3 linked regions of the Xenopus tropicalis genome follow. The main gene of each other region encodes a partner of the protein of the gene in region 3 in a complex. Links are inferred from orthologs where the notes say so. Each region holds a gene or a part of one and is shown on either strand. Other genes may lie near its edges.

Region 1 (11,033 bases), about 29 Mb from region 3:
TGTACTGGAGATGTTGGTTCCAGGGCACTGCTGTTCCTGTTGCTCTCAACATGCGAGGAGGAAATCGCTGGCACAGCCAACACATCATCATACAGGTCTACCTGCTCAGCAGCAAACTCCGACTCCTATAAGAAAGGTGTAGCACAAGCTTAAAAATGAAATTATACAGGCAAATTAAAGCAGAACAGCCATAGCAACACACCTTTGGCTACTACTAATAAGGGGATTGCAGGATATATTACACAGTTCAGAGAATGCGCTGATGGCATTTTATATATAAAAACAAATGTATTATTTATTTTAAGCTGAAAGGGGAAAAGAAGGAACAGGTGTTAAGCAGAATGAAAAGGGCAGCATGCTTCATGGAATCTAGTTATTGTGTTGTAGTTGCAGCATAAGGACCAGTTCAATGAAAGATTTTTTATATTATATATATATATATATATATATATATATATATATATATATATATATATATTCACACATGTATGCACTAGTTTCCAAACAATTCCTCAAGGTGTACAGTCAACCAGAAATGCAATCAGACAGCTCTCTTATACCATATTTAAAAGATAAGTTTCTTTATTTCACATACCACAAGGATCCTAGATTAATGGTCCTAATGACGACTGAACCACTGCACACAAGTGGTAAAATAAAGAAACTTTTGTTAATTTAAATATGAGAGTGTTGGTCTTTATCAAAGACATATACCGGTATATCTATCTTATAGGGGAATGCATGTGCATGTTATATGCAAGCTCTATGGTACATCCATGTCTGACTGGAGCTTTGCACATTTAGGAATATAAAACCTACGTATAAAAATAGACTATTTTTCTTTTTCAAGCCAAAACTGCAACAGCAAGAGAGTAAAGGTGGACAAGTACAAGTTATAATAACAATCTTTCTTGCAGAAAAAATTGTTTGTCCACTCCACTAACATTAAGAGCTGAATGGTCAGATAGGGGTAGAATTCCTGTTGTTTCTACCTGCATATCTGATGATTCACCATTAACGTATAGGTGATGTTTGGGCAACATAAAAATTTTCAGACCTGACCGATGGACAAGACGACCATTATCCAAAGCTTTTGCGATACCGGTCGCCTAGTCAGCCCACCATACATGCACCGAATAGCGTATGAAACCTCGTTTGTACGAGAATATTGTGAGTGTATGGGCACCTTAAGCAATCCCTATATTCCCTATTATCCTACAAATACACAGCTAATCACTCACTTACAGGAACTGACTTCCCAACATGCCAGAGGGTTATACAGATTAGGTGCTAGGAAAAGCTAGTTAGTTCTAGAGTTACAATAGCTCCCATTATCTAACCACTCATTTACTGCAGACACACAGCAAACTAATAATAATAACAATAATAATAATACTGGGGCCCAGTGCATGCACATAGGGAGTGATACAACACATTTACTCAGGATCCATTTAAACAAAAAAGATGAATCACTCTCATGTAAGTGCATTTACCCAGACAGAACATTCTAATATAGGCATCTCTACAGGGAAAATCTATTCAGTGTTGGACTGAGACAGCCAGACACCAGAAAAACACCCGGTGGGCCCCACCAACCCAGTCCTGCTCCTAGGGCTGCCACGGGGCACTTTACATGCTCCCTGGACATACCTTTTTGATTAGCAGGACTTATAGCCCTCCCCCATAAGGATATCATGAACAAGTGGATGGTGCAGGACTAAGCCCAAGATGCAGGGTTGGAGCTGTAACCCAAATACAAACCCAATAGCAATGCCCAGCTGAGACACATGTGGAAGCTGGACATCAACAGAGAAGGCTTGTGCCTTATTTCTGGCACAGTCAAGACATTTTACTAGAGCTTTTTTCTCAGACCTACCTGTTCTACAGGAGCAGCAAAAAGTATATTTCCTTCCACAACCACATTTCTGCTAACGATGAAACACAACGACCAATGTATTCAGGTATGTCAACTTATGGCTCCATCATATACAGATATATTATATACACAAGCTAAATTTGCCAGAATATTCTTACCTCTGCGATGCCTGGGTGGCTACCATGCTAACATAGGTGTCAATTTGCAGTGTCAATAGCAACAACTAATCCATTCTGCCCTATGAAGACAGGCCTGCACTATAATTTCTACTCCACAGGGTTGTACAATACAAACAAACCCTATTTTAATGCTGCTATAAGTAACTGCAAGATATGTAGTAGCAGTACCAACCTGTACTTACAGATGCCTGAAAACACTCTGCTTATTGCAGATCCCCCCAAGTAACACCAAACCAACCCCAAAATAAACCAAAAGAAACTGGGGGGCAGCTGAGACTATAATTAACCAGCACCTGGGCTAGATAAGATAGATAAAGAGATATATATTGTGGTATAATTTCACAATACCAAATCTGCAGCCCTCTAACTGTTGCTAAATTGCAATGCCGAATATCCCATAACTACAGGAATGGAGATCCAACCTACCTGCATTGACCCTCTCTATTCAGGACAAAGACTGTTGTTAGTTTTATATGGATTTTATGCACAACAGGTCTACACACCCTATTTACATATTGTACTTGGTATATATCAGATTATAGCACCCAAAACCCATAAATATTCTGTAAATGATATCCTTAGAAACCGTGGTCTGAATAAAGCCACTCAGCCTTCATTTCACGCTTTTATATGATCAAGGGACTCCTCAGCAACAGTGAGAATTACTCCCTATATTATCCACTGTTTATACAGCATTAGTATGTTATCCATAGCGGTAGAGAAACTGGGCATAATTCATATAAGCCTCTGTCCCATAGCAAGTTAAGGCCATATCACAATCACATAAGTCATATTCACTAGGGTCAGCTTCATCAGGCTTCAGTTAATCTGCCTGTATGTTTAAGCAGTATAATAGATCCCTGTTGCACAGAACCATAAATAGGAGCTGCCATATGTCTTGCCTCGGCAGGCACATTCATTGATGTTTTTAACATTGCCCTCTACTGGTCATATACAGTTTGCATTATTCCTGTGCTGACTGACAATATACAATCCTATATATTTTGTTACAAGGGATGTGTGCATAACCTTTTCCCTGACTATGTAAAGGAGCAATAATAATTCCAGCACTTTTCGGTGCATGAAGGGTCATCTTTATTTTAATCTAAAAATCATTTCCTGCTAATTGTATTGAGTATATTATTCTCTGGCAATAAAACAAGTCCATGCTGCACTGACATGCTCTAGGGATTATCACTACAGAATGTGCGCGTATCAGTTTCCCATATTGGCTGCAAAGAGAAATGCTTCCAAAATATACAGTAATGTAGATAGATCCACAGCACTGGAGTAATTATTGTACTTTAATTGGGTTCCCATCATGCTTTTTTTGGAGACTTTACTGCAATCCACCAATACGGGGCTCATGTTACAATTACATAGAGATACATGAAATTTGAATGGGCTTGTTCATCTATAAATGAAGTTAAAATACCAATTATATGATACTATATATTTTTTATTAATTTCTTAGCTTTTCATTCAGAAGCTCTTCAGTTAGGAATTTCAGCACCTATCTTGTAGCTAAGGTTTAATTTTCCTTAGTAATCAAAGTGGCTTTCATAAGACACTGCAAGATGATAGGGGTAGTACACTTTTAAAATTAACTTTCAGCATAGTGTAGATGGTGATATTCTAAGAAAATTAGCAATTAGTCTTCATATCTTATTTTTAGTGATTGTTTAATTAAACTTTTTGTTGGTTGGCTCTACAGTTTTGAATTTCAGCAGCTATCTAGTTACCTTAACAACCAGGCAGTGGTTTGAACAATGATCTGAAATATATATTTTTTGGCTACTGGGGTCAGTGACACCCAATTCAAAGGCTGAAAGGGACAGAAGATGATGACAAATAATTAAAAAAACTATAAAACTGAAGGCCATTCGAAAACTTGATAAGAATTGGATATTCTATAAAAAAAAAAAATGTTATGTTAAAGGTACACTACCCATTTAATGGAGTATTTATTCTGTATGGGACAGAGGGTCTGGACATGGTACTAAATATTAATGTCTTAAGCCCAAAGCTGAACCACTGCTCATTCCATATCTGATAGATAACTTTAAGGCTGCATTTAGCTAAAATACAGGAATCCCCTCAAAGTAGATCCAACAAAAAATTGTTTTTGTTAGCTGTTAAAGCCTTCCAAACAAATCACTACAAGACAAAACAAAGCATTATTTTTGACTGATCCCAGAGAAGCCCCTAGTGATCAAACAGGCAAACATCAGATAACTGCAGGTGCAAAGTTTGTTCAGGTCTAGTAACCCATAGCAACCATAGATTCACTTTCAAGCGGTGAAGCAGTAGTTGCTGCATGCTGATTGGCTACCATGAGTTACTAGACCTGAAAAGAACTTTGCAGCTGTATCCATCCCTCACCCAGAGGCACAGAGCTGCGCAAAAGGCGCGAGTCAGCCATGACAATGCACAGTAATATGTATAATCCCATTGGGGAGTACTATATAAATAGCTCTAAATTAAGGGAACAGCTTTGATATGTTACTATTAATACCATACACTTAGCTGTAATAAAGGGTTTTCAGACAAAAATAAATCAAGGGTTACATGCACGGCATGGGTCTAAATACATATTAAAGGAACAGTAACACCAAAAAATGAAAGAGCTTTAAAGTAATAAAAATATAATGCACTGTTGCCCTGCACTGGTAAAACTGGGGTGTTTGCTGCAGTAACACTACTATAATTTATATAATAAGCTGCTGTGTAGCCATGGGGGCAACCATTCAAGCTGGAAAAAAGGAGAAAAGGCACAGGTTACATAGCAGATAACAGATAAGCTCCGTAGAATACAATAGTGTTTTATCTGTTATCTGCTATGTGCCTGTGCCTTTTCTCCTTTGAATGGCTGCCTCCATGGTTACACAGCAGCTTATTGATATAAATTATAGTAGACTTTCTGAAGTAAACACACAACTTTTACCAGTGCAGGGCAGCAGCACATTATATTTTAGTTACTTTTATACACTTTCATTTTTTGGTGTTACTGTTCCTTTAAAGGGGAACTCCACCATTTTTTACAAAGAGAAAGATAATTCTTAAAAAAAATAAACTTTTCAGTATAAAGTCATTATAAATGTTGGCTTTATAGTTGTGTATATAGATTTTTGCAGTCTGCCCCTGTTTCTGAAAAGTTCTCCACCCGGTCTGTTAATCAGCTGGCTCCTGCTATATTTATTATAAAGAGTCCAAACAGCAATGCAGAGCATTTAAAAAGACAAGACTCTTGTTTTCAATTATAATAATATTAGCAGATAACTTTAAAAAAAAACATAGAACAGGGTTGATTAATGTAAATGGGAAAGCTGCTTAGCATCACAGTTTGTTTCATTATTGAATAGACTTGTGGTGGAGTTCCCCTTTAAACAAACAAAGCTATTTAAAGCCAGGCAAGACAAGGTTGGAGAAACAGATTGATTTTAATGATAAGAGAGATAAACAGAGAGACATAATATATAGGAGCCAGGGGACTGCATATCAATATATCACAGCCAGAGGGGGAGGGATGGACAATGGGCTTTATATATATATATATACTGAGGTGCATAACACACTATATACCAGGCTGGGAATAGAAATACATAGAACCCTGCACTGGGGGGAAGGGCCCACGGCTGATTGCGGGGATCTGTCCAGCCCTGTAGCCAAAGCAGCAGCCAACGTGCGTACATACGGACACGACAGAGATAAATATATGTACATTTCTCTTTGGGCCGCTCCGGGTCTCCCCCACCTGGATGAACTCCTCCTCGGCGTAAATATCAATCAGATCGGCCCCGTCCGCCATCCCCGGCCCGGATCCCCCCGAGCGAGGATGCTCAGTTCGGATAGCACTTCCCCCCCTCCCCACTGCCCCAACTTTGTCTCCGCGTCCGTTTTGGTTGCTCCGGTTCCGTTCAGCCACACTGTTCTTCCCCCACTGATAGTCCTCCGCTCTCCGGAATATGCTCTGCTCCCAGACTCCCGCGCAAACCGGAACTTCCGCCGCCTCAGATGCGCGTCAGGGACCCACTTCCGGTAGAGAAGGTCGGGCACCGGAAGTGTACGGAATTGTGACTTACACCGTGACCCGCAAGATGTTCGCGTCAGGGACCAGGTTCCGGTAGAGAAGGTCGGGCACCGGAAGTGTACGGAATTGTGACTTACACCGTGACCCGCAAGATGTTCGCGTCAGGGACCAGGTTCCGGTAGAGAAGGTCGGGCACCGGAAGTGTACGGAATTGTGACTTACACCGTGACCCGCAAGATGTTCGCGTCAGGGACCAGGTTCCGGTAGAGAAGGTCGGGCACCGGAAGTGTACGGAATTGGGATGTTCGCGGCGGGGATGCTGAGAAGAGCCCCTGCGGTGAGAAGCTGTGGGGGCAGAGGGTTACCCTTGTCTTGCACATGTGTCTGTAAACTACGGCACCCAGCATCCTCTCCAGCACAGTTGTCAGATTTATTGGTTCCATCTGTCATGTGATCCCTCTAGCTTTTACCAAGGTTATACATATAGGAACTCCCATGTTATTATCAGCAGCTCAGCAATAGTGCATTCAGTAGCACAGCAAAAGGGCCAAGTAAGTGTTTATCCCCCAAAGGGGCACTATAGTCTCTTAGTCAGCATAAGTGCAGGAACGTATGTCTGTTGTTATTGGATTCCAAGTTTTCTCCCAACAGTCACAACAAAGGGTGAAGGAAGTTGTATGCTGGTAATTCCTTTACCACCCATGGACCAGATATAGAGTAGGTTCGATTTCCTACACGTATGCCATCCTACGTGTGGGTGGGATGGCATTTTGGGGTGATTAGTCGTTAGTCGCTAGGGAAGATTTATCGCAGCGACACATCTCCCCTGTACCACTGCCCATAGGCTAAAGTCCCACTCAGAGATTAGACGCCTGCGATAAATCTCTGATTACAGAGGAGACTAATCTATCCAAAATGCCTTTAGGGCTCTGGCACACGGGGAGATTAAGTCGCGGGCGGGATGGCACACGCGGCAGTGCGATTTCAGTCTTTTTCGGCGATTTCGGGAAATCGCGCTGCCGCGTGTGCCATCCCGCCGGCGACTTACATGTTCGCCGGTGGGATGGCGGGTCATGGCAACTCGGGGAGATTAGTCGCCCGTGACAAGGAAGATTTGTCGCGGGCGACTAATCTCCCCGTGTGCCAGAGCCCTAATTACACCAACAAAGAGAATCTGCGGTGGAAAGGCCTACACATTGCTTCACAAAGTTTCCTTCTGCTGCAAACTTCGCATGACTCAAGTTCAATGATTACTTATCAAGTCCAGTTGCTTTAGATTTACCTATACTATATATATATATATATATATATATATATATATATATATATATATATATATATATAGGATACAATTTGCAACACTTTCAAACAGAGTCATCTAGCCTAAGCCTGCTTGTCTTATTGGCCAGATTCCTTTTCTCTGTCACTTCATTCTATTAGAAAAAAGTCAAGGAAAAACCAAACAGGGCGAGGATACATTTCCCTTAGGTCTGGTGTTAAATCTAGGAGCCATATTGTGCCATTAGGTATCACTCATTTATAAGGGTCAAATGGTAGTGACAGCTTTACCCCCTTTAAAACTAGATTCTGATAATTATAATTGAGTGCAAAAGGCCATACTAGAGGAGAGAAAACTCCTCAGATAACTTCAGCTGGATATCAGACCAAGACCAAAGAGAATATACAGGTTATCCATTGGCATTTTTGATCCCGCTTTAACCTTAATCCAATATTCAACATCAGTATAAACATACTGCGTAAATTTTTTGAAAGGTACAACTCCCTTAAAATTATTGTAGTTATCTGAAGACTGCACCATAAGAGCCATCTAAGAAACAAGATAAATGTTGTTTTTGTGACACCTTTATTATGTAAGTTGAATTACATTTCAAGCTTTTAAACAACTAGGCCTTTTCCTAAGGGATATTGCAACCTAGAAGCTAAAATAGCACATACTTATATTTAGATACACCGTTAGCCTTTCATATTATTTTCCTTTATTCTGATGGGATACTGAGTGTGTGCTGTTTAGTATCCACTTTGTAACAAGCCAGAAGATGAAGAAAGAAAAATCTCAAGGAAATCATCAAAGTATCCTAGGCAGTTGACCAGTAAAGACATCAGAAATATTCCAGCCAAGTGCAGTTGTACCTGCTATGGTACAATTCTATGGTGCCAGATAAGCAAAAATGGTATCATGTTGGGGTTGTGCTCTGTACTGTTTCATGTGCTCAGAGCTAATAAATTCCCCTGATTTCCACAGAGGTACCTCTTGAGTTCCTTTGCTGTGCGTCGGGGACAAGTTTCAGATGCCACAGGGACATACGAGTCAGAAATCCAGCTGCCTCCTTGGAAGGAACGTCTTAATGAGACTCCAGAAATCAAGAGAGCAAGACTGGTGTATGAGAGCCGGAAGAGGGGCATGCTAGAAAACTGCATACTGCTCAGGTATCATATGTATCTCAATATGATCAGCCTACACATGGTTTGGATATTTAGACATGCTTCCTTTTCTTCTTTCCTGTTGCTGCCCCCAAACACGTGTTTAGTGATTAATACAATGATCCGGCATGATAAAACCTATTACCTTATTTTTCCTATTCACACACTATCAGTGATTGGTAGGATCAAGTCGATTTGGACATCAATGAGTGTGACTTAATAACTAAACACATGACCAGCTGGTTCCAGGATTGATCATTCACATACCATGGGTGACCAGCTAGGACACATAACTATAATCTAGGCAGCTTTGTTGTATTGTTAATAGAATCGCTGGCTAAAGAGGGTGTTTTTTTTTTGTTTAGATAGAGTCTATTTTGTGCTTCTAATATAGAAATGGAAACCTTGTTAGTGCCTCATCTCCTGTACTGACAGCTAGAATAGACAGGGAGACTAACATTAACAGGGATCTCTATCTAGGGTCAGGCCAAACTTAAATGAAATATTTGGCTTCTGTGCCAACATAACCAGAACTGGAATGACTACATAGTCCTCCATAGCAGGCAATTTCAGTGCTGTGGCACACAGGGCCTTTTGGATAATGGCACTTGTAGTGACAATCAATACATTGCTGCTCATCTCAGATTATTTGCTTTTAACTTCTTAAGTGATAATTGTCATTTTTAGCAGAGTGCTCCTGTCATAGTACAACAGTTAATCCAATATTTTAGAAATAAAGATGGAAGCCTGGAAAGTGGAACTGTGCTGCAGATTTTTTGAAGTGTGCCACTACATACTCCGTAATCAGCTTTCTCAGAGTTAAGGTGGCCATACACTATAAGAACTGCTTGTTTGGTGAGGTTGCCAAGCGAGTGGATCTTCTCCCGATATGCCCACCTAGGGGTGGTGGATATCAGACTAATTGATCGTTTGGCCCTAGGGCGGGGAGGCCCGTCAGTGGTGCCCATACACGGGCAGATAAGCTGCCGAATCAGTCTATAGGACCATAGGACCGAAATCGACTTGTGTATGGCCACCTTTAGTTTAAATAGAGAGAGTGCTCTGTATAAAGAGTCCCCTTCTTCACTCTTTCTTTTTTGGCTTATAGATAAGTAGAAGCTCATAACGCACTGATTATCTGACAAACTTTTTCAACTGAAATTCTCACAAGAACCAGAAAGTAGGAGATCGGAAATAGTTGCAGTTTTCTGGTTTTCTTTGTTAAGTTTAAGAAATAACAGATCCTACTTATTAAAGTAAACAACCCCTGAATATAGTTAAAGATTCCTTCTGTGGTTCATAAAAACATGTTTTTTCCTATTTTCTCATTTTTAATTCTGCTCTTAACTTGCAGCCTGTTTGCCAAAAAATATCTGAGCTCCATGACAGACACACAGCTTTCACAGTATGATCGACTGATCAATATGCCAAGCAATGACTGGGACCTTTATTACTGGGCCACAGGTATTAACCCCTGACTCTTTTTTCAGTCTTTATATACTGCCCGTCCTTCTACCCTCTCTTTCTGTTTTCCAGCTCATATTTACATTAAGCATATAATTCTCCCACCATCTGTTCATTCACCCCAGCACCATGATTTTTGCTATTTTCCTGTAGGAGCCCAGGAAACTCCCAAAGAGTTCAATAACGAAGTTATGGATTTGTTAAAAGAGTTTGCCAAGAACAAAGACATGGAACAGCGTCTGCGCCAGCCCGATCTGGAGTACCTCTTCAAAGATGCTCAGTGACCAATATGGGACATACAACCTCCTGTAGGGAATAAATGTATACATTGAGGTGTCTACATGATTCTCTGTGTCTAAGGGTCATATATAAACTGCATTAGCTCAAAACAGAAAATTGAGTACATTTTAGCATTTGCCTCTGTTTCTAACAATTTATGAGAAAAAAGAGATTCAGAAAAAGATATGAATAAGACTGTATATAATTCGCTCCATTTCAAGTGAAAACTATGTATTGCAATGTCCCTGTACATGTAGTATATCTGTTTTTTCATTCTATAAACATCTAAGATAATGGAATCCTGAGCAAGTGTGCAATTTTTGAGGAGCCATTCTGTTTTGCAGCACTCATTACAGTGACTCCTGAAGGTATGGAACTCCGTAGTTGAAGAAGAGCTAAACCTCAGAATTACTCAGCTGGAAACGAGTTTTTGTACCGCAATAACTAGATTTTGTTGCTTTGGTTTACACCTTGTTTTTATTCGTGCAGTGTTATGCTGGAGGGTGACAGGCTGGCAACTCTGAAATACTTTTTCCTTTTTCCCTTAAGTTGGGCTCCAGGCTTGCACCGTATAAAAGCTAACCCTTGACCTTTCTGATCTCCTGTTGAAACTATCATTTGCACACTGATCACATGATGCACCTCGGTTTTGAAACAGTGCCACAGATTAAGAATTGGCCTTAGACCAGACATTTGATTGGGCCATTGTAGGACTTTCACCTGTTTGTTCTGGAGTTACTCAGTCAGTGTCACTTTGTCCTTG
Region 2 (11,031 bases), on a different chromosome or scaffold from region 3:
AACTGCTTGTTGCAAGGTGTAACAATCGGCTTCTGGCCATGCATCTCTCTTTTTGGCAAAAGATCCATAAGCTTCTTTGATGAGGATTCAGAACTAACGCATATAAGTGCAAACCTTTAAAACAAAAAAGGATGTATTTTTAATATATTTATATACAGATATCCAATTTATTCATGTTCTTTAATTTCATACTACAGGTATCGGACCCCTTATCCGGAAACCCATTATCCAGAAAGTTCCGAATTACTGAAAGCCCATCTCCCATAGACCCCATTTTAATCAAATAGTTCACATTTTTAAAAATGATTTCCTTTCTCTGTAATAATAAAACAGTACCTTGTACTTGATTCCAACTAAGATATAATGAATCCTTATTAGGGGCAAAACAATGCTATTGGGTTTAATTACTGTTTAAATATTGTTTTTAGCGGACTTTAGGTAGGAGAACCGAACTACGGAAAGACCCCTTATTTGGAAAACCCCAGGTCCCAAGCATTCTGGATATTGTGTCTCATACCTGTACTAACATTCCACAAGAGAAAGCCAAAGTAAACAAAAGCAGCAGAGGGGTTAAGATAATTTAGGGAAATGATCTCCAACCAATGTACCCTGCTGTTTTAAAACACAGAAGATGTGCTTGCAAAACAGGGTAAAACATCTAGCACGTGAAATACCAAGCAACTGAGATATTACATTTGTATACCCAAGCAATTATATTGCACACCAACAAAGGATTAAAGCTACAGTGAAACATCACGGCAAATTGATTTCATGTATCTATATCAGTGCTGTCCAACTTCTGTGGTACCGAGGACCAAAAATTTTCTGGCCTACATGGTGGAGGGCTGATAATGGAAGCCAGTTTTGACCACTACCCTTTTTTTAAACTGCACCCACTTTACACCACACCCATGTAATCACAAGAGCTTTTAAGACCATACCCACATTAATGGTGGTAGCACAGCAAAAACCCAGACTTGTTGGTGCTCACTGTAGGGATATTTCCCTTCATCTGAAAGAATTATATTATGTCTAATTAAGACACGCTCTTATATCCACATGCCCCAGCATATAATTACACACCTTAGGGACCATATAATGATTATTTCCAAATGCTTACAAACTCTCAGAACAAACCACTGCCAGGTTCACCTCCCACAGGCAGTGTATTGCACACACAAGCAACATAGGGCAGGCAAATTATAGCACATATACAGGGAACATAGAGCAAGCAGAGTACTGCCTGTGTGTGCCATACTTTGCCTGTCCTACCCTGCCTGCCCTATACTCACTGTGTGCCATACTCTGCCTGCCCTGTGCTGCCTGTCTGTGCCATGCTCTCTGCCTGCCAGAGAATAAAACAACCTGCCTTGACGGTCTAAGAACTTATCATTAAATGCAATTACCAGCGCAGGTAAAAGAACATTTAGATCTTTGCATTTATTTACAAGTATATTAAAATGTGTCCAAAAAAAACCCTTCTGGTATTACTCACCCCCTATAAACCTTCTTGAAACCTTATCCTGACTCAAGACACTGCTATTAACAATGTAATATGGCTGCTGTTACTTAAAGGCAGAACCTTTGTCAAACTTAACATCCAAACCATTAAACCTAAGTAAAACAATTAGCAGAAAATCCAGAAAAGCATCCAATCTTACCCCTTTGACTGGCCATTGGCCCGATTTTCAAAAAATTTTATTTCCAAAATATCATTAACACCCAAAGAATGAACAGCATCTGTCAAGTCTTCATCAGTTGTCCACTGCACAAAGAAAGGAAAATGATGAGACACATTACACCTACAGAAATAAACCATTCTATGCAAAATCATTTATAGAATAGAAATAAATCATGCATAAAAATGCAGCTACTGTATATGCAGAAATGTCAAAAACCACACAAGATAAAATTTAACAATTGTACTTTTCTCACATTTTCCAAGATAAGAAATAATGATGTTCTATAAAGAATACGGAATTTTTTAAAGTGTGCAGGCAGATTTTGCCCCAAACACTTGAGTTCATATATTAATGTAGTTTATATGAAACTGTCAATCAGATTCAACAAAGATATAGGACACACTGTTGAAGTGTAGATAAAGGCAGATATATGCCTTTCACAGGAATAAAATAAATGCAGACAGCATATTTTTAGTGGTGGTTGTTTTCTTGTGCAGTGGTCAAAACACCTTGTGCAGCATGAAATCAACATAAACTACACAATAGGAGCAGAAAAATGTTATTGTTATGCCTTTACTTACCCATGTTAGATTTCCAATGTAGAGTGCTATTCGTTTACCAGTATAGGTATACACAATATTAGGAACAGATCCTTTCACTACATCATCTCCAACAGAAGTTGCTAGATTATCCATATAGTCGCGGTCCTCAGGAGCATCTCCATTGTTTGCAGATGGTGAGATGACATCCTCATAGAGTTCAATTTGCTCATGTGCACCATATTCTGCTTCCTTTAATACAAACAAAAAATATGAATGTTCATACCTCTTCAAGCAGCTGCCTGTTGCCTGGATCAGGGCCTTAATTATTATTATTAATTTACAAATTTTAACATATTGATGCATTCTCCACTTTATTATACATGTCAATTTTTAAAGAATACATTGTTCACCTAATGATTCTTTCAAAGGCAAATCAATTACTGGTTTTAGATAAATATGTATGGACTAGGAATGCACTTACAAGCAAAGATGTTTTGCTGTGTTGTTCAGATAAACACAACAATTCTTAATGGAACATTTGGTTTTTTGCCTGAAAAAAAGGACATTGGCAATGCGAGTGATCTCCATAATTTGCACCTTTGGATATTTGTGACTATAGCAATGGGGACAAAAACATAAAATCCCCCCTCAACAACTAAAGTGTAAAGGAAACTTTGTTGTATAATAATCGGCACATGCATGGTGGGAGACACAGCAACCAATATCAGTAAATGCCTTAAGATATTGGTTGCCTTGTCAATCGCGCAGGACTGAAAATTTTGATTGGGTGCCTTATCATCGGAACTTTAAAGGGACAGTAACACCAAAAAATGAAAGTGTATAAAAGTAATTACTATATAATGTAATGCTGTTCAATCAGCCATTAACCGTTCAGGGCTGAAACAGCAAATAAGGCTGCCGATTCAGCCCTGAAGGCAGATTTTGCTCAGGCGCCTTCTATGGCGCTCGATCAAAATCTTTTAACCTGGCCGATCGGCGCGTCGACCAATATCAGCAGCCTCCTGCGATATCGGTCGACTCGCTGACTTACCATACACGCACCGAATATCGTACAAAACGAGGTTTCGTACGATATTATCGGTGCATGTATGGCCAGCTTTAGAGGCTACCAGATTAGCCATTTACTGCCCATATTTGGCACCCCCAGAAACCTTTTTATGCTTGTGTTGCTCCCTGACATTTTACATTTGAATGTGGCTCACGGGTAAAAAAGGTTGGGGACCCCTGTTCTACAGCATTTAAAATATTTTCTGATGCTTTGACAGTCACAAGAGGCAGTTCCATGTGTAACACAGTTCTGTATATGCCTCTGCACTAACACCCCAACATTGCAAAAATCCAAGGAGGTTTGGAAGTCTACAAAGATAAGAAAACAACAGCTACATTATTTCTGACAGCTTATTTTACAAGCATCTGAATATTGTTTCAGTCCTCAACCAAAAAAAAGGGGAACACATTTTAATTTAAGAAATTGATATTTGATTATTTCCTCCACCAGCCCCCCCCCCCTGTATAACAAGAATCTTTCAATACCTTGCTGCTCTAAAAAAGAAACAAATGTTGATTTTATCCCTGTGGTACAGAAAATGTGTTTTAATGAATAATATAGAACATAACTAGGGTAAATTTCCATGAAAAATAAAAGCATTAGATCTAATATAAATAGTAATGGATTTGCCAATACTTTTTTGTGCTTTAAATAGTCAATTAGCTGAAATTCACTTCTAATTTAAATATGGAGAAAGTCTGACGTATATCAGCAATGGGGCCACTACTGCCTATACCAGATATTGACATCCTGCATTCATTTGCTAATCTAGAGATGGTGTATTTATAGCTGAAGGATATTAAAGATACCAGTATAAACCTGTTATTAAAGGTTGAACAAACCACATTTTCAGTTTTTTTTCCCTTCAACCATTGGCATTTAATTTTTTATCCATTATGTGAAACTGCAACTGTATAGTTCTACATTTACAAGTAAATGATTGCTGTGCTGTCTCTCTCAATTCAAGACAGATAGGAAAAGTACACCGTTTTATGATATTAGAAAAGTGTACATTTTTCTATAAAGAATAGTTTGGAAAATGACAGCAGATGCATTTTATTACATTATGTATGGTACCTATTTTCTTGTACCCCCCAAAATAAAGACAGTGGTACCTAGCAGCTGCCGGCGAGATGCTCCAGGGCCCCATGTATGTTACAGCCTATTATATTCTCTATTTCGACCAATGGATAAGTAGATTTATTTGGGGGGGGGGGGGGAAGCAATTATGATAACAGTTGTGAAGGTTTTTCATTAGTCTTTCCAAACAACCCTAGTAGCTTAGAACAATTTTTTAAAATAGAGTGGTATTTGAAGGGGTGAACAATTGTTGTAGTCCGTAAAAGCTCGTCTTCCCACAGTCTCTAAGAAAAAGAAAATCCCAACAACTACTGTTTTAGTCTAGAGCCCCCGTAACCCACACATAACTAATCCAGCAGGGCTCTGGGCAATGGCACTAGACTGAAGTTCCGTGGAACTCAAGGCCCCGGCACACGCGGCCTACACAAAGAAAGTGCAGAAGGCTGTGTGGCCGGGTTCGGCTTGCCCGCCTCTGTACAAATTTTGCGAATCTCCAGGGTAAAAGAAATGCTTTAAAGACTTGATAGCATACATAGGCCTACAAATAATAACAAAACAAACAGGCGCTTCTTTTATCTGCGAGAAGTCGGGAGGCGGCCCAAGCACACACAGACGACTCGCACCAGCATGACAACCACTTGCTGCACCCATATTTCCCACTCGCGATACCTGATTAAATTCCTCGCCCACATCTGCGTAGATATCGATATGATCCACTCCGTCCGCCATCTTCCGCCTGGAGCGGCAGCGCTAGGCAGTCACGGAGGCGGTGCGAGCTGGGAGGAGTGGGTCGGGAGGGGGAAGGCGGGAACGGGCGCGTCACTTCCTCTACTGGATACTGAACCAGCTAGTTGCGCGCGTTTTTTTTCACATAGTATAATTTGTATTGTACAAACTCGTTGGAACGCGAACAATGAGCAGCAGCATTAGAAAGATATGGCTGAAGGTGAATAGAAACTTGCCCCAAGTCAAATTCATATTCTCGTCAGAACACCGTGTTATGAAGATATATGAAAAACATTTTTTAAAGGTTTTTATTATTTTCTTTACAAACAGAAACATAAAACCAGCACAATAGCATATACAATAATTAGTGCTATGACCATGGAGAAAGTATACAGTAGCAGGGTCAGCTAGATACAGTCGGTGTGGCCTAAGTAGTTTGGATAAGGCCTGTGATTTGGGGGAGACCTTTGGTGTAAAAGTCTCAGGGTTATACTGTGGGACTCGCTTCTGGTTGAGCTTCTTACAGTTTTTGAGAGGATTGTCTAGTTCAAAAGGTCTCTCTAGAAATCCAGTTGCATCTAAGTGATGCCATAACCTTGCTTTGGTGTCATAATCCCACTGACATAATTGTGCCCACTTCTGATGTCATCATGCCCATGTCAAACATCACTGCCCCGCCCCCTTTGTTGAGGTTTAGCCTCTGACAAAGGTGGCAACCTTAGTAGGCATTGTCTGTATAGACGCCATATTCTCTAGAATTTGCTAGGGCAACCCCTGGCAAGGTATGTTAGTTTAATAAGTGGGAGTCTAGTGTTAACAAGTTGTTTCCATTGCTGGAGGTCAGGGGGGTGGGGGCTCATCCATTTCATTGCCAACTTTAAAACAAATGGACAGATACAGCAAATGGTGTCTATACAGACAATGCCTACTAAGGTTGCCACCTTTGTCAGAGGCTAAACTGCAACAAAGGGGGTGGGGCAGTGATGTTGGACATGGGCATGATGACATCAGAAGTGGGCAAAATTATGTCAGTGGGATTATGACACCAAAGCAAGGTTATGGCATCACTTAGATGCAATTGGATTTCTAGAAAGACCTTTTGAACTAGACAGCCCTCTCAAAAACTGTTCAAAACCACATGGAAGGCAACCCTAACTATATTCTGCCCAATGAGTAAATTCAATCCTAATAATAAAATACTAATTCATTTATTTGTTTGTTTCTGTAATAATAAATTAAAAGAGAAGAAAAGGTAAAAACTAAGTAAGCTTTATCAGGTAGGTCTATGTAAATACAGCCATAAGCACTCACGGAAACGCTGCACTGAGTCCTCTATAAAAAGATACAGGATTTCTTGTCTCTTTGATTTCCTGTGCCACAGACACGCAGCTCTCTCCTCTCTCCCCTCTCCTGCTCCCCCCTCCCTCAAGAATGCTAAGAACTCCCTCCCCCCCTTAGGAATGTGTGATCTGAGCCAATCAGCAGAAAGCTTCCTCATAGTCTTACACACTGCATATGTACACCGGTCTTGGTCTTGGTGCAGGAGCGAGGCATTATGGGAATCTTCTTTGTTTAAATTTAAAATGCTGCTATTCTTATACTATCCGTACAAGTGTCCCCTTGTACAGTTAAAAACCGTGGGATTAATATTCAAGATTAGAAAAAGTGAAAGGAGCCACCAACAGCCAATCAGATGTGTCCGAATGTGTTTTTTCGTAATGATCGTTATTTTTGCAACAATTTTTTTTGCAACAAATTCGTATGGTCACGTCGAGTACGAAAGTTTCGGATTCATTCAAGCTTCGGTATCGTGACTTTCCTTGGGCCATGTTGGAGCTGCAGAGTGCCATTGAGTCCTATGGGAGGCTTCCAAAATCATGCACAGAAGGATTAAAGTCGGAAAGGTTTTCCCGCCGTTTACAATCGTTCAATACGAAAAAGTCGACAATGGCGGCGGAAAATTCTCGATCTTCAGAAATTATCGTATCCAATCCGAATTTTTCCCATTCGGGATTTGAACTCGTGTTTTAATGAATCGGCCCCACAGTGTGTTGTAAATTTCTGGGGCTACATGAAAATGCTTGGGGTCACTGCGATATATATGCTAGGGTCACTGTGCCTTAAATGGCTGCAGTCACGCTGTTTCATGAAATGTTGTACCATTCTGTGTCATTAGTCCACACAATGTCATAAAATATTGGGCACTTTGTGTCATGAAATGTTTGGACTACTTTGGTCTTAAGTTTCTGGAATAAAAGTTTTATTAATTGCTGGGGCCACAACTAGAGATGTTAGAACCACAGTGTCCTATATATGCTAGGCCATTGTCACGTGTATTGCTGGGCTATGGTGTCATAAAATTCTAGGTTCACCATGTATTATATTGCTAGGGCCACTATATCATGAAACAGGGGCCACTCTGTCATGGGTTGTTGGGGCTACTGTGTTATGATATGATGGGGTCACTGTGTCATGAAATAATGGGATTATATCATCAGTCTAATGTTCCATATAAAAAATATATTTATATATTTAAAGTATAGGTGCAATAGTGGTTTGATGGGCTAGTTCCTTATCACTGTGGGAGGCGTTTACATTCTTGGCTCCTTAATTTTTGATATGCAGGGTTGGTTCTTATGTTACAAGTTGTATTATTTGCTCTGGTTGTGCTGCCTGCGGTGCTTTTTGGTTTGGTTTCCCTGAAAAAATGTTTTAGGTTGGTTAAGAACAAGGAGGAGTCTAATGCAGGTTGGCGAGTGCAGGTTAGGCAAATAAATGTCATCATATATAAGAAAGAATCAAGAGTATAGCAAGGCCTCTAAAATTATGTTATCAGCATAACCCTTGACCCTCTTTGTCCGCCTACCTTTTTTAAAATATGAAAAAGAAAAATAGAATATAAGGACACATAACCATATATGTTATACTCTCAGTGCTGTCCAACTGGTGGCCCGTGTGGCCCCCCCACCTGTCTGGCTGATAGCATACCTTTGTGTAAGCTTTAAATGGTATCAGTATCAGTACTGGCCCCCTGCATGGTTCTCACCTCAGATTCTGTATTGTTTAAAAATGTAATCCCCTGTGTTGTTCACACCTTTTAATCCCTGCATTGTTCACCCTTTGCATTGTTCACACCTCAGGCTCAGACTGTAATCACCCACATTGTTCACCTCTTCACACCTCAGACAGCAGTAAAAACCCACAAATAAACCCTGCACACTATAAAAAGAACATATACTAAGATGGTACTGCAATGTCAGATGGGAAAAGTTTTTTAATATATAGTTATTATGCAGACTGTAGGAGCAGTGTCACTGTATGCTGCCTGTGTGTGCCATATTCTGCCTGCCTTATGCTCTCTGTGTGTGACATACACACAGGCAGCATAGGACAGGCAGGGTAGGGCAGACAGAGTATGGCACACACAGGCAGCATAGGACAGGCAGAGTATGGCACACACAGGCAGCATAGGGCAGGCACAATATGACACACAGGCACCATAGGGCAGGCAGAGTATGGCACACAGAGTATGGCACACACAGGTAGGTTAGGGCAGGCAGAGTATGGCACACACAGGGAGGGTAGGGCAGGCAGAGTATGGCACACATAGGCAGGGTAGGGCAGGCAGAGTATGGCAGGTTTTTGCTGTACTGCCATCATTAATATGGGTATGGTAATGCAATAACATGGGTGTTGCTTCAAGTGGGTGTGGTTAAAAAAGGGGAGTGGTCAACTGGCTTCCATTATGGCCCTCCACCACGTAGTCCAGAAAAATTCCGGCCCTCAGTACCACAGAAGTTGGACAGCACTGCTCTAGACCCCTGTCAACCCAGTGCTTGATCTGTGAGCATCTGAGTGAAGGGAAACTGACCCTTTTGTAATGAAGCTTCTTCTGTTTCATGTACAGTAGGATCAACTGTAATCCTCTAAACCAGCTCAACCCTACCCTCTAAATAAAGCCATTCACCAGATAGTATAAATTAGCTTTTAGTTCTATGTGGTGTGGAGAGCACTGTATAATTATCTGTAATATGTGTGTTTTTCATATAATAATAATAATAGCTTATACATGTTTTTATATGGCATTATTTTGGTATTACTGTTGGATTCATTTTTTACTGCGTGTATTTACATTGTTGTGCACTAGGGGTCAGACATAAACTGTTCTGAAACTACTGCTCTGTGTCCATCATTTGTGCTTTATTAAAAAAAACCAAAAGAATTGTTATGCACATGCTGTGGCACAATTTTCAGTGCCACAACATGGATGTTCATACCAGGAGCTCCCTTACTAGCGTTTGGGGTGGGCATTGTTTGGTAAGGGTGAAGGAAACAATTTTTTTATCGATAGTTGGCCTTTAAAAACATAGAATTTGCAGGACCACCTTTCCTTAAACCATCTCGCCTTCTTTATCAAGAATCCTCAAGGAATACACCCAATTTAGTAAAATTTATATATATAGTGTGCTAACACAGTTTAATTAGACAATTTATAAAAGAGATCAAAGTTAAAGACAAAAATCTTTACCTAAAACAGGTGTTGAGCTGGGTGTATATACCCCAGGTCCCTCACCAAATATTTCAAATGCTAGTATACATGCAGTGAAGATCACATAAATATACACACACTCACTGATGCCACAATTTGGTTCGGGTGCTTGGAGCCCCGAACCCGTAGCCCAAGGGAGCAAACTCAAATCTCTGAAGAAAGCAGCTCGCAAAGCACCATGGTCAGCCAGAAAATGGATAAAACTCGAACTTTATTTACATTCTTAAAAACCCAGAACGCCTGAAGCGTTTCGTATGTACCCGCACTTAATCATAGGCATGCATTCTGAGACAGTAACATGCTATATAAAGCCTATCAATTAATGACATCACATTTTTTTTTTCCTTCTTCTCTTTATGTGTATAAAAATGAAACAGAACGAAATAAAGAAAGATAGACTAACATGACATATACAATTCTCTGGCAACATCACTTTGAGGGAACATAACAATTAATATTAAATATAGAACATATGTGGTTGGCGTATGTAAATATCCATTTTACTTCCCTCTGCAAAAGTTTTGTCCACCTCGTTCATCTGGAAACACCCTGTCAATTACCTGAATCTGCAGCAAAGCAACATTGCAACAGTTGATAAAGTGCCTAGAAACTGGACTGTTACTTTTTTTTGCAACAATATGTGCAATATGTTCCCGCATCCTATGTTTAAGTGGACGGATAGTACAGCCCACATACTGAAGGGAACAATTCATACAAGTCAACAAATAAACCACATGGTGTGTGTTGCAATTAGCATAAAAGCGCATATCAAAAGAACACTTGGTCACAGTGCTTTCAAAAGTAATGAAATGCTTGACATATGTGCATGTAATACATCTTCGCACACCACAATGATATGTCCCCTTAATATCAAGCCATGTTGCTTTAGCTTTCACTGATTTCAGAACTGTTGGAGAGAAATAATTGCCCAAAGTGGGGGCTCTACGTGAAACAAATTTACAACCATCTGCTACCACAGGGGCTAACTGGGGGTCATTGAGGAGAACTGGTAACAAATTTTGAATGATCTTTTTGATTCTATAAAATTGCCTACTATATGTAGTCACAAAGATGGGAACATCTTTTTTGCCCTCCATCATAAAGGGTCCCCCCCGAACTCCACTGGCCATTTCCCCGGATCTTTTATGCAACAGAAGCTGCCTGTCCATATTAAGCGTTCTCTCAAAGGCTGGTAAAAGGTGTTTCATAGTGTAACTCTGATTTAGAAAACGACCCCTTATCTGACAGGATTGCTTAAAGAAACTGGCCTCAGTACTGCAATTCCTCCTTAATCGACAAAACTGTCCTAAGGGAATCCCTTTGAACAAATGTCCTGGATGACAAGAGTCCGCCCTCAAAAGGGAATTCCCTGCACAAGGCTTC
Region 3 (10,426 bases):
CCGAGGTACCTAATTTTACCAAAGAAAACTGGAAAAACTTATTGACTCGAGTATAAGCCTAGGGTGGGAAATGCAACCGCTACTGCTAAGTTTCAATAATCAAATAAAAAACAGATAAATAAATAGATAACTTTAGGGAAAGAAAAATGCTACAGCAGCAGACAAAAGCAAATTTGGGAAGGCTAAGGAAGCTGCCATACTAATTATCAAGTACTTTTAGACCCCAGTGTACAAGTCCCACCACAGTACTACAATAGTAGTTACAAGGGAAAAATAATTCTTGATGCTGGACTTAGTACAAATTAAATTTTTGTAAATAACAAGTTATTGTACCAATTACTTAATCTGGCTCGTTGCGCACAACCACCCTCCCTCCCTCCACCTGTGTCTGTTCATACCTCCCTCCCTCCACCTGTGTCCCGTTCATACCTCCCTCCCTCCACCTGTGTCCCGTTCATACCTCCCTCCCTCCCCTTGCGTGCATTCCTCCCTCCCCTTGCGTGCATTCCTTCCTCCCTCCTTCAACTTGTGTGCATTCCTCCCTCCCTGCCTCCCTCCACTTGCGTGCATACTTCCCTCCTGCCCTCCACATGTCCATATGTGTCCGTGTCTACCTGGCGTCTGGCTCGTCAAACGCGTTTGTTGCATGCACCTACCCCTGAGGAGGGACAAGAGTAAGTGCATGCATGTGCGTGCTCAGATCGCACGTCCATGGGGGCAGGGTTGGTCGTTGACCATGCTCAATGAGCCAGACGGCAGGTATGCACGGTGCACGGACACATATACACGAGTATAAGCCGAGGGTTACTTATACTCGAGTATATACAGTACATTTAGAATGATGTAGACATTGCTATTCTAAGACAATTTGCCATTGGTCTTTATTTTATGTTTTTTCAGTTATTTAGCTTTTTGTTTAGAAGCTCTCCAATTTGGTATTTTAACAGCTACTAGAGTCTTATTTATCCCAGCAACAAGGCAACAGTTTGAATAGGAGATGGGAATAAGGTAAATAGGAGAGGACCTGCATAGATAGGTAAGTAATAAAAAGTAACAGTAGAAATAAAATTGTAGCCTCACAGAGCAACAGTTTTTGGCTGCCAGGGTCAGTGACTCCCATTTAAAAGTTAAGAGTCAGAAGAGGGAGGCGAATCATTTAAAAAAACTATAAAATATAATGAGAACCAATAGCAAAGTTGCAAGGTGAACCATCTCTTTAAGTTACATAAAACCGCCATGTGTTTTTTTTAAAGGGGAAGTATAAATAATTTAATATCCTTGACAACTTTGTTTTGTCTTAATAAAAAGAACTAGATTGAATATACATAGCAATTCAAATAAGGGGGTGGTGTATTATAAAATTTGCATGACCCAAAAGGCTTTTTTTTTTTGTAAAAAATTGTTCTCTGAATGACATATGAGTTGGGTGGGTAAAGGAGATGCTTATGTGTTTCCCAGCCATATGAATTGAGTGCTGCCTAATGCAGGCAGTGCTCTATGGAAGGGACATTTCACAGGTCTCTGTACTCCAAAATTGTGCTATTTGCACAATGCCCTGATTGTGGCCTTTTTTGGGGGGAAATTGCACACTGCCTGGGACATTTTAAATAAGCATTTAATTGTTTGCTAGGTTGGCCAGGGGTACCCACCCCACAAATTTCACTGTAATGCAACCAATACCACACTTGTTCCTAATTTGTGGGCCACATACTGTAGTCCCAGGATCAGTGGTGCACCTACAATACAGCAGACAGGTGCAACAGGCAGACATGAGCAAGGCATGGGGGGAGGGAAGAGACTGTACAAGTTGGTTAACATCAAGCACACTATGGGGGAAATTCACTATCATTAGTGAAAAAAATCCTTTAGCAACAAATCAGCAATTAGTTACTTATTATATCTGATCTATTATGGTCTGATATATTCTGATTAAATATCTGATCGGTTTCAAAAATGTTATTGTAGTGGTGCAAAATTGTCCCTATTTTTTGTTAATGTCCCCAAAGTTTTTATTTTTGGCTGGATAGACAAAAAATTCTACTACTGCTTCAGAATAAATGAAACACCCAGTCACAGTTATCTCATACTAGGACACATATACCACTACTTAAGCAGAGGTAGTGTGAAATGACACTGATTTTGTATTTGGCAGACCAGGACATTCAGTACAGAAGGACACATTTATTTCCTATTTTTATTGGGCATGATGAAGGGGTATCAGATCCTGCAGCTCCAGACAAAAACCTTGGTTTCATCCATTATGCAGTTATATCATCACATTTCTTGCTTGCTTACTCAGTACACTGAAGTGCTGAACTCCAAAACTATAACCATCCAAAGCAGTGGGACATAATGTGAGATAATATCCAGTGAGACAGATATAGATGAAATAATCCAGTTTTAATGATGTAAGAAAAGTGAGTGACATCATGAAAATAAAAAAAAAAATTAAAACACTAATGTCTTGCTGCTGTGTTTCACTGCAGAGTCTTGTTTTTCTGACGGCAACAAGTGAATTTTAAAGAAAAAAACCTGCTGAAACGTTTCATTTTTACAAACTATAAAGCTGTGCTCACAGAGACCGCTTCATCCACAAATTTCTTTGATGACCTCTAGATAATGCTCAGTTGTAAATAAAATTAAACCTAGAGAGAAAAAAAATGTATTATCGCATTACAAATATCTATAATTCAGCAGCAGCTGAACACAGGATCTACATGTATGATGGTAAATCCATGGTTTAGCAGAGCATAAAATGAGCAAATATTCAGTTACACATATATAGGTAACTTGGAGTCACCATTACAGGTTAAAGACATTTGCTGTTTTGTGTACATTTTACAAACCCCAATTGATGGTTATCTTTTAAAACACCAGTAACAAAAAAAAAAAAGTATATATACATTTGAATACAATTTGCTGTGACCCAGTAATAGTAAAAACATAAATACACTGCCAAGCAGCCATTCAAGCTGAATGCTAATGTCAAATGCCATTCACATCTCCCTAAAGAACTAAAGAAAAGAAACTCAAGAAGGTGTTGGTGCTTAATCAACAGATACAAACTTTAATTGCAACAAAACAATCACTTTTGATGTTCCTGGTCCTCTCAAGGCAACTTCCGCGATTTCACGGAAATCACGCCGCCGCGTATGCCATCCCACCGGCGATTTACATTTTTGCTGGTGGGATGGCATTTCGGGGAGATTAGTCGCCCGCGAACAGGGAGATTTGTTGCGGGTGACTAATCTCCCCGTGTGCCAGAGCCCTTAAAGTAGTTGTTCACCTTTGAGTTAACTTAGTATGATGTAGAAAGAGTGATATTCTGAGATAATTGGTCTATCCTTTTTTATTATTTATTTACATTTCTGTTCATTGGTTTTGCAGTTTGGAGTGGTTTAAATAAGAGACTGGAATATAAATAGGAGAAGAGCCTGAATAGAAAGATAAGTAATAAAAGTAACAATAACAATAAACCGTTTTTTTAAAACAAGAAGGCAAATAATTCAAAAACTATAAATAAAAACTATAAATAAAAAATAATGAAGACCAAATGAAAAGTTGTTTAGAACTGGCCATTCTATAACATATTAAAGGTAAACTTAAAGGTGAACCAACCCTTTAAGCAGATATTCAGATATTAATTTCTTTTATAGCATATACAGTATGCACAGCACTAAACTGATATACAAAGCCTTTAAGAAAAAAAGATGTACAGCAGTAAATGCTAAATATTTAAAACATTTACAGATGGCTGTATGTAAAAGTATGAACCGAATTCAGAAGCAATAATAAAATTAACCATGTTATGTATTAAAACTAGACTCCCTTCCATTAGTTATCAGAGACAGGCAGACTGTGACTTTGAAGCCCATTGAATACATCGGTAATCAGTGTCATGGCACAGTTTAAATATTTACTTTATTTTTAAAATGTATTTTTAGAGAGAACTACAAAATATATTGCACTTATTGACAATGTAGGCTTGTCACAGTCACTCTCACTTTGAAACAAGACAATAATATTTCAAAATGTATTATTTCAGAATGCAACCTACCTGCTAAGAAGCTGTGGGAGACTTGAAATGATGGGGCCATATCCAGGAGCATTGTCGTACAATTCAAATAAAGGGGCTGCAACAAGTTTGTAATTTTTGGGCACAGCAAATAGTGCTAAAGGATAAATGAAACCAGAAAAATCATTTAAAATAATTTTCCTTTTAAATTGTAATTGTCTAGAAAAATAAAGCAACCGATTAGCTATTTGTTGTAAAGCAGGTGACCTGTTAAATATGGTTTAATTGGAGAATTGTATTATATAATCTGCCAAAAGTCAATTTTATCAAGTTTACTTATTAGCTGGGAACTCCTTAAGAGTAAAGCCCATGTCACACCAGGTGTTTTCTCTACTGGCATATCTGTGCTGGGGGAGAAAATGATGACCTTCCTTCTGCACCTATAAGTGCACTGAAAGGCTAAATTCTGGCGCAGAAATGCATACTTTCCATGTTCCGACCTGTCTGTACCCTAACTGGCCAATTCTGTGCCTGTCAGTGCACAGTGATGTCAGGGCAGGGTTAAACAGATCTGTGTTTTCTCACCCGACATATATATATGCTGGTGGGCAAAACTCCTGGTGTGACATGGCCTAAATTTAGAAAAATGTAAGACACAAACAAGTCATTCAGATCATCAGATAATTATGGCTATCTACTTGCAATTTAATGCATGCCTGAGGTCTGGTGCATTAAACACACCTTGACTTGTTAAGCCTTCAGTCCTCTAGTATAAACTAGGGGTACAACAAATACAAAACACAAAATTTTACAGTATAGATTCGGACAGATACCAATAAAATCTGAACCCATATTCAATTTTTAAACCATGAGATAAAAACATTCATCTTTTTTGAACATAAATTAGTTGTCAAAACACATAAGTTGGATGCAGTTCAAGAGCTAAATAGATAATTAAATATTTGGGACCCTAAACCAACACAGGGCAAATCTGCATGTGAGTAGTAACTCATACAACTTTGCACAGTATCCAACTGATCAGCCTGACTGAACATAAGAAGAGAGAGGTAGCAGTAACAATTGAAACAGCAGGTACTGAAGACAACAAGCCATGGCTCCTCTTAACAGCCTCATTTTCCAATTCACTAAACACCATGATACAGGTTTTTTTAAACAGGTTGATCCACAAACTGGCCGATATCCATAGTACATGAATACTGGTCGAGATCATCAGCTTGCTAAACGTGCTTAAAGGACATGTAAACCTCCGCAAAAAAATTTAACCAGCGAACAGCCTTTTTAAAATCTTTATAGATACCTGGTTGTTAAAAGCTTAATTGTAATGCTACAGCATCCCCTTAATCACTTAGGATTCCTTCTCCTCCTCTAACCCACTCGGGTCCCCTTTTTAAGGAACAGACTCTGGCTGTTGGGTAATGAGCATGCTCAATTCTTCTCAACTCAACTCAGATTAAACACACTCTTCTGTCCAACAGCCAGTGAAGAGATGGCATTGCTGGTTCCTATAAAAACTCTGCTCTAGCTGTCTGCTCCTAATTTTTTTCCTAATCCCCTACCCTGAGCTTAATTTAACTAGTATACTGCTCAATCCAAGAAGGACTTTTTACCAAAATTCTGCTTGTGTAAGCCTGCATTCTTCATAGCATAACAGATGAAAGTTCTGTTTTCAGTTTTTATGTATTAGTATCCCTTTAAGAAAAATCAGATAAGCCAGCATCTTACCTTTCTCCTGCAACTGAACTAGGAACAATTTCTTGTGTTCTTTAGGTTTTGTAATATGAGCAGGAATGTATGGATACTGCAAAGATAAATAGGTATTTATCAACATACATACATACATACATACCATGACTGGGTTGTTTCAGTAGTTAAAGACATGTTAGGGAGAGGCTGAGGGGGGAAAGATAATAAAAACAGCCAATTTGCACGTCTGCTTTTTTGACAGCTCCCCATGAAGCATCAACATACCACCTAAATGTTTCTCTTTTTCACAAACAAACAATACAATAAACTGTATGGAGTTCTTGTAAAAAGTCTGGAAGTCTAAACATAAGAACTGGCCAATATGTTTGTTTTACAAAAAGAACACATTATACATTGTAAATTACTGCTTTTGTAAAAACCCCTTTATTTCTAAATATATGCAGTTACAGCTGTGCTTAATTGCTTATTTTATGCCATCTTCTGCAAGAACAGTAAAAATGTTCAGAAGGTTTAATATAAACACTGTTATATGTTTTATTTACTTTATGTGATTTGCCCTTTAACAAAAAATGTGAATCAGTAGTTACAATTAAGGTTAATTTAATTTAAAAAATTTTTGTACTAAATCATTTATTTGCAATACACATTTATTCTGATCCAGTATATTCATTTTCCCTAAGAATTTGCCTACTTATAATAATACAAGCTGAATGTGTGTTCTCATAGTCTCTACAAAAAGATACCATAAGCTTCTGGCAGCATAGGTCTAACCTCTTACCTAAGCATAATTTCTGTTAGAAAAGTTCAAGGCATAGCTGCCCCTAAAGCCAGTTTATTTCTTTAGATCAATGCTCACCAACAGAATACCAGTATATGAAATTGTGAAAATGGCTAGGACCGGAGAAAATGGGCAAATAAGCTTAAAACAAAACCAAAACAAAATAAGCTTAAAGGACATGTAAACCCCACACATAAAAACTTAATCAGTGAACAGCCTCTTTGAAATCTTTCAATACCTGCCACACTGGTTGTCCAGAGGTTAATAGTAAGGCTGCAACATCCCCTTAATCACTTAGATTTCCTTTTCCTCCTGTAACCCACTCGGCCCCCCAGGAATTTGCTTTGGCTGTTGGCTTGTGGGCATGCTCAGTTGTTCTAAGCCAAGATTACTAAACACGCCCCCCAGTCTAGCAGCCAGTAAAGAGAGGGCCTTGCTGGTTCCCATAGAAACTCCGCTCTAGCTGCCTGCTTCAATTTTTTTTTCTAAATGTAACTGATTATATATCAGAGGAAAAATGGCCACTGGGTGAAAGCTGCTATTTGCTTTTAGGAAAATGTGATGGTGCTGGCAAGCGGAGGGGATATATGCAATACAAATTATGCCATTTGGGTGAGGGAGATGTGCCCAACTGATATATATTGTAGGCAAATGTAGGCTTTACATGTCCTTTAAATAAGTGAACAATTTATCATCACACAGAAAGATGCTTCATGGCACAGTGGTGAAATATATGTAATACACTGATCCAGGGTGTGAAACTAGTAACCTAGATAATGCTAACAATATTAAGTTTGACACTATCCTGCAAGCAAAGTAGTGGTGCTTTCTTGCATAAATACATACTATTATACCAAAAAGTAATCACTGTGTGTGTGCAGTGAAACTATATCCTCAACTATTATTGTACACTGAAGATAAAATAAATAGAAACTCAATTAGCAGCAAGGTTGATGTTTGCTTTAACATTAGGTATAAACTGTATACCTGAGGAGGTTCAAAGTTGGGCCTCCACCAATTTCCAATACAGTCATCAATAACCCAGTCCTGCTGAACTCCATCTTGACGGCCAAGTATCTAGAAAACAAAAATAATGTTTTTAATATTTAGACCCGTGTGAAAGACTCCTTGTAACTCCTCATGTCACATAAACTTTTGAAGAACAGGCATGCACTCCTTGTCCAAAGCTTTTCACCAGGTGCAAATCAGATGAGGAATCTCAGTACTCCCCCTCCTTTACCACAGTCCAAAAAATATTCTGATGCACTCAGGTTTTTTTGTATCAAAATTCGAAAAACATTTTCTTTATTATATCAACGTTTCCACACCACAGAGTGGTGTCTTCCTCATTTCACATATTTATAAAGCGCCAGCACGCACAGAAGATACAAATTACATACAAAGAGGGCCCTGCTCAATACAGTTTACAATTTAAAAGAGAAGGGGGTATGAGACAAGTCAGCCACTCATATTGAAAATGCTACTTTGGCAAGGTTACCAAATGAACAGATGTTTGTCTTTTTATCTACTTGTGTGGTAAACACACTAGAGCAGATCCAAAGCTTTTACTGCAAATTAATCAAACAGAGGGTCCAAAAAAAAGTTTTCTGCTTGTCCCAACTGATTACAAATATACATATACAAAATACCAGATGAAGAGCACACCAAAATTTAAATGCGATACCTGGGTGCCAGAGCAGCAGACATGGAATAAAAAGTAAAAATGTCGGCACTCAGAGGGTTCTCACGATAATACTCACAGGCAATAAGTCATAGTAAGATACAGTAAGGTGAGGTTTACTGATCCAACGTTTCGGGGTTCTAGTAAGGAACCGAAACGTTGGATCTATAAACCTCACCTTACTGCATCTTACTATGACTTATTGCCTGAGAGTATTATCGTGAGAACTCTGTGAGTGCCGACATTTTTACTTTTTATTACATATACATACATACATATACATTCAGCAACGAGTATCTACCTCTACAAAAAAAAATTTCAATGGTAATCACTCCCTTCCCCTTCATAAATCAAAATGCGTATGCAATGCACATTGGCTGCTGCCATTTTTGACAAGTCCAGTGCCCAGACCTCCTGGAGGCCACCACCCGTGTCCCTGATCTGCATTTTACCAACTGGTCCAGGGAATGGGAGCAGAACCTAAAAGCTTCATTAATGTGGTTTGGAGTGGGGTGAATGTTCCAATTTACATCCAAGATCACCAAGTTTACAGCACAAAGGTAAAAGATCAAATATTCACTTACTTCTGTCATTAAACGTTTCAAACCTTCCACCTCATCCTCTCCTGGATTGAGTTCTCCTCCAGGCCTTTATGGAAAAAAAGTATAAACATATTCAACACAGTGACCATAGTAGAAATCTTTCTCAAACTCCTTTAAGTGGTTGTTCACTGTCCAAATCCTATTAAACCACCAACAATACTGTCAGCGTGTCAGAAAATGCATTTTCCATAAAAAATGACCCAGATATGGGATCTATTATATGAAAACCATATATCCAAGAAGGTCAGAATTATGGAAAGTCTATCTCCTATAGAATCCATTTAAGTAAATAACACAGAAAACCATTATTTAAAAAAAATCTTTATTTTTTGTGCGCGTGTGTGTGTGTAGATATATATCTATACACATTCATACAACTCCCCAAATGGCTAGATAGCAGCATTGTATGACATGTGTAGTCAAACCTTCTCAGCTACTACAGGTCTACTAAGAATAAAAAAGAATATACTGGAAAGTTCATGAACTCACAGTTTGAAGAAGGTGGTGCCCAGTTGCAGTAAGAGCACATGAGGCAATCTGTGTTCATGTACAATAAGAACCCCTTCTACAGTGCGTCGCATCCCGATCTTATCAAACTCCTCGCGCATGCGCTGGAACCTTGCAGCCACTGAACTGTCCTTTTCATACAAAGGCTCTTTGGTGCCAAAAGTGTAATTTGTAAGGGGATACCTACAAAAAAATATATTTTTAGTGGAAGACAAATTATTTATACACTCCATAAATGAAAACAACTGCTGGGTATTCTACGCTGCCACTGCATGAAGCCAGCTAAACAAGGGAAATGGGTCTGTGCCTATTAGTATGAGTGAGATATTTGCTACAGGTAAAAACTATTGGTTCAAGTAGTTCAAATGAAATATCAAATATTGCAGACATTAAAGGAGAACTCTACCCCCTGGGCTATAAAAGCCCCCTTAACTAGCACTGCCTTGACCCCCCTCACCTCTCCCTTATCACATTGTTTCTAACTTTAACAACTGTCCATTTGCTAACCCCAACCTAAAACAGCAAAGTAGCACAGCTGCATACCTGGCCGACATCTTCTTTGCAACTGAACACACTGAAATCTGCTTAAACTGCGCATGCGCAAGCAGGGTTTGTATCGGCAGAGAGACCCGAAGTGTGTTCAGTTACAAAGAAGATGTTGGTCAGGTACTTAGCTGCGCTACTCTGCTGTTTTAATTTGGGGTTAGCGATAGGGACAGTTGTTAAAGTTAGAAACAATACGATAAGGGAGAGGTGAGTGCTAGTTAAGGGGGCTTTTATAGCCCGGGGGTTCTTCCTTAAGAAGACTTATCTAAGATTTATTAAACATTCTGTATAGCTCATTGGATTTTGCATTGTAATACAATACATTTTATCTTGAACTTGAAAAGTTTAGTTAAACAAAAAAAAAAAACAAACAAAAACCCCACTGTTTTTATTACCAATTTGTTTCATAATTCTGGGCACCAAATAAATGAAATAACAGCAAATACAGTTTTGAAAAACAGTTTCAACCCCTCCCTGACCACTGAACATAAACTACAAGCAAACTCTAGCGATAAAAGGGGCCTGTCACCCTAAGAAATAATTCAAAATCCTTGTGTGTCATTTTAGTCAAG

The links.
Region 1: the proteins of nudt21 (region 3) and cpsf7 are in contact, whole or in part, in a crystal structure (PDB 3N9U), measured with the Homo sapiens proteins. The link is inferred for Xenopus tropicalis from reciprocal best matches to the Homo sapiens genes NUDT21 and CPSF7. Residues at the interface, in NP_008937.1 of Homo sapiens: Arg68, Asn152, Glu154, Pro156, Tyr158, Tyr160, Pro162, Ala163, His164, Ile165, Thr166, Lys167; in NP_001129512.1 of Homo sapiens: Trp91, Trp92, Thr93, Thr94, Asp95, Gln96, Glu112, Lys114, Phe115, Glu117, Asn118, Arg119, Ala120, Asn121, Gly122, Gln123, Ser124.
Region 2: the proteins of nudt21 (region 3) and cpsf6 are in contact, whole or in part, in a crystal structure (PDB 3P5T), measured with the Homo sapiens proteins. The link is inferred for Xenopus tropicalis from reciprocal best matches to the Homo sapiens genes NUDT21 and CPSF6. Residues at the interface, in NP_008937.1 of Homo sapiens: Pro151, Asn152, Glu154, Pro156, Tyr158, Tyr160, Pro162, Ala163, His164, Ile165, Thr166, Lys167; in NP_008938.2 of Homo sapiens: Trp90, Trp91, Thr92, Thr93, Asp94, Glu95, Lys113, Phe114, Glu116, Asn117, Arg118, Ala119, Asn120, Gly121, Gln122, Ser123.

Annotation. Positions count from the first base shown.
Region 1 is NC_030680.2:22,863,150-22,874,182, reverse strand, and holds the start of cpsf7 (cleavage and polyadenylation specificity factor subunit 7), read right to left. Parts: upstream 6,018-11,033; 5' UTR 5,864-6,017; coding exon 5,810-5,863; coding exon of another isoform or gene 5,777-5,809; intron 126-5,776; coding exon 1-125. Other genes in the region: sdhaf2 (succinate dehydrogenase assembly factor 2, mitochondrial), read left to right, coding at 6,387-6,422, 8,349-8,533, 9,882-9,991, 10,145-10,275.
Region 2 is NC_030679.2:58,919,568-58,930,598, forward strand, and holds the start of cpsf6 (cleavage and polyadenylation specificity factor subunit 6), read right to left. Parts: upstream 5,221-11,031; 5' UTR 5,103-5,220; coding exon 5,043-5,102; intron 2,474-5,042; coding exon 2,264-2,473; intron 1,766-2,263; coding exon 1,662-1,765; intron 115-1,661; coding exon 1-114. UniProt on the Homo sapiens protein: Component of the cleavage factor Im (CFIm) complex that functions as an activator of the pre-mRNA 3'-end cleavage and polyadenylation processing required for the maturation of pre-mRNA into functional mRNAs.
Region 3 is NC_030680.2:51,656,656-51,667,081, forward strand, and holds the end of nudt21 (cleavage and polyadenylation specificity factor subunit 5), read right to left. Parts: intron 9,492-10,426; coding exon 9,291-9,491; intron 8,848-9,290; coding exon 8,784-8,847; intron 7,596-8,783; coding exon 7,506-7,595; intron 5,835-7,505; coding exon 5,759-5,834; intron 4,173-5,758; coding exon 4,058-4,172; intron 2,646-4,057; coding exon 2,624-2,645; 3' UTR 2,382-2,623; downstream 1-2,381. UniProt on the Homo sapiens protein: Component of the cleavage factor Im (CFIm) complex that functions as an activator of the pre-mRNA 3'-end cleavage and polyadenylation processing required for the maturation of pre-mRNA into functional mRNAs.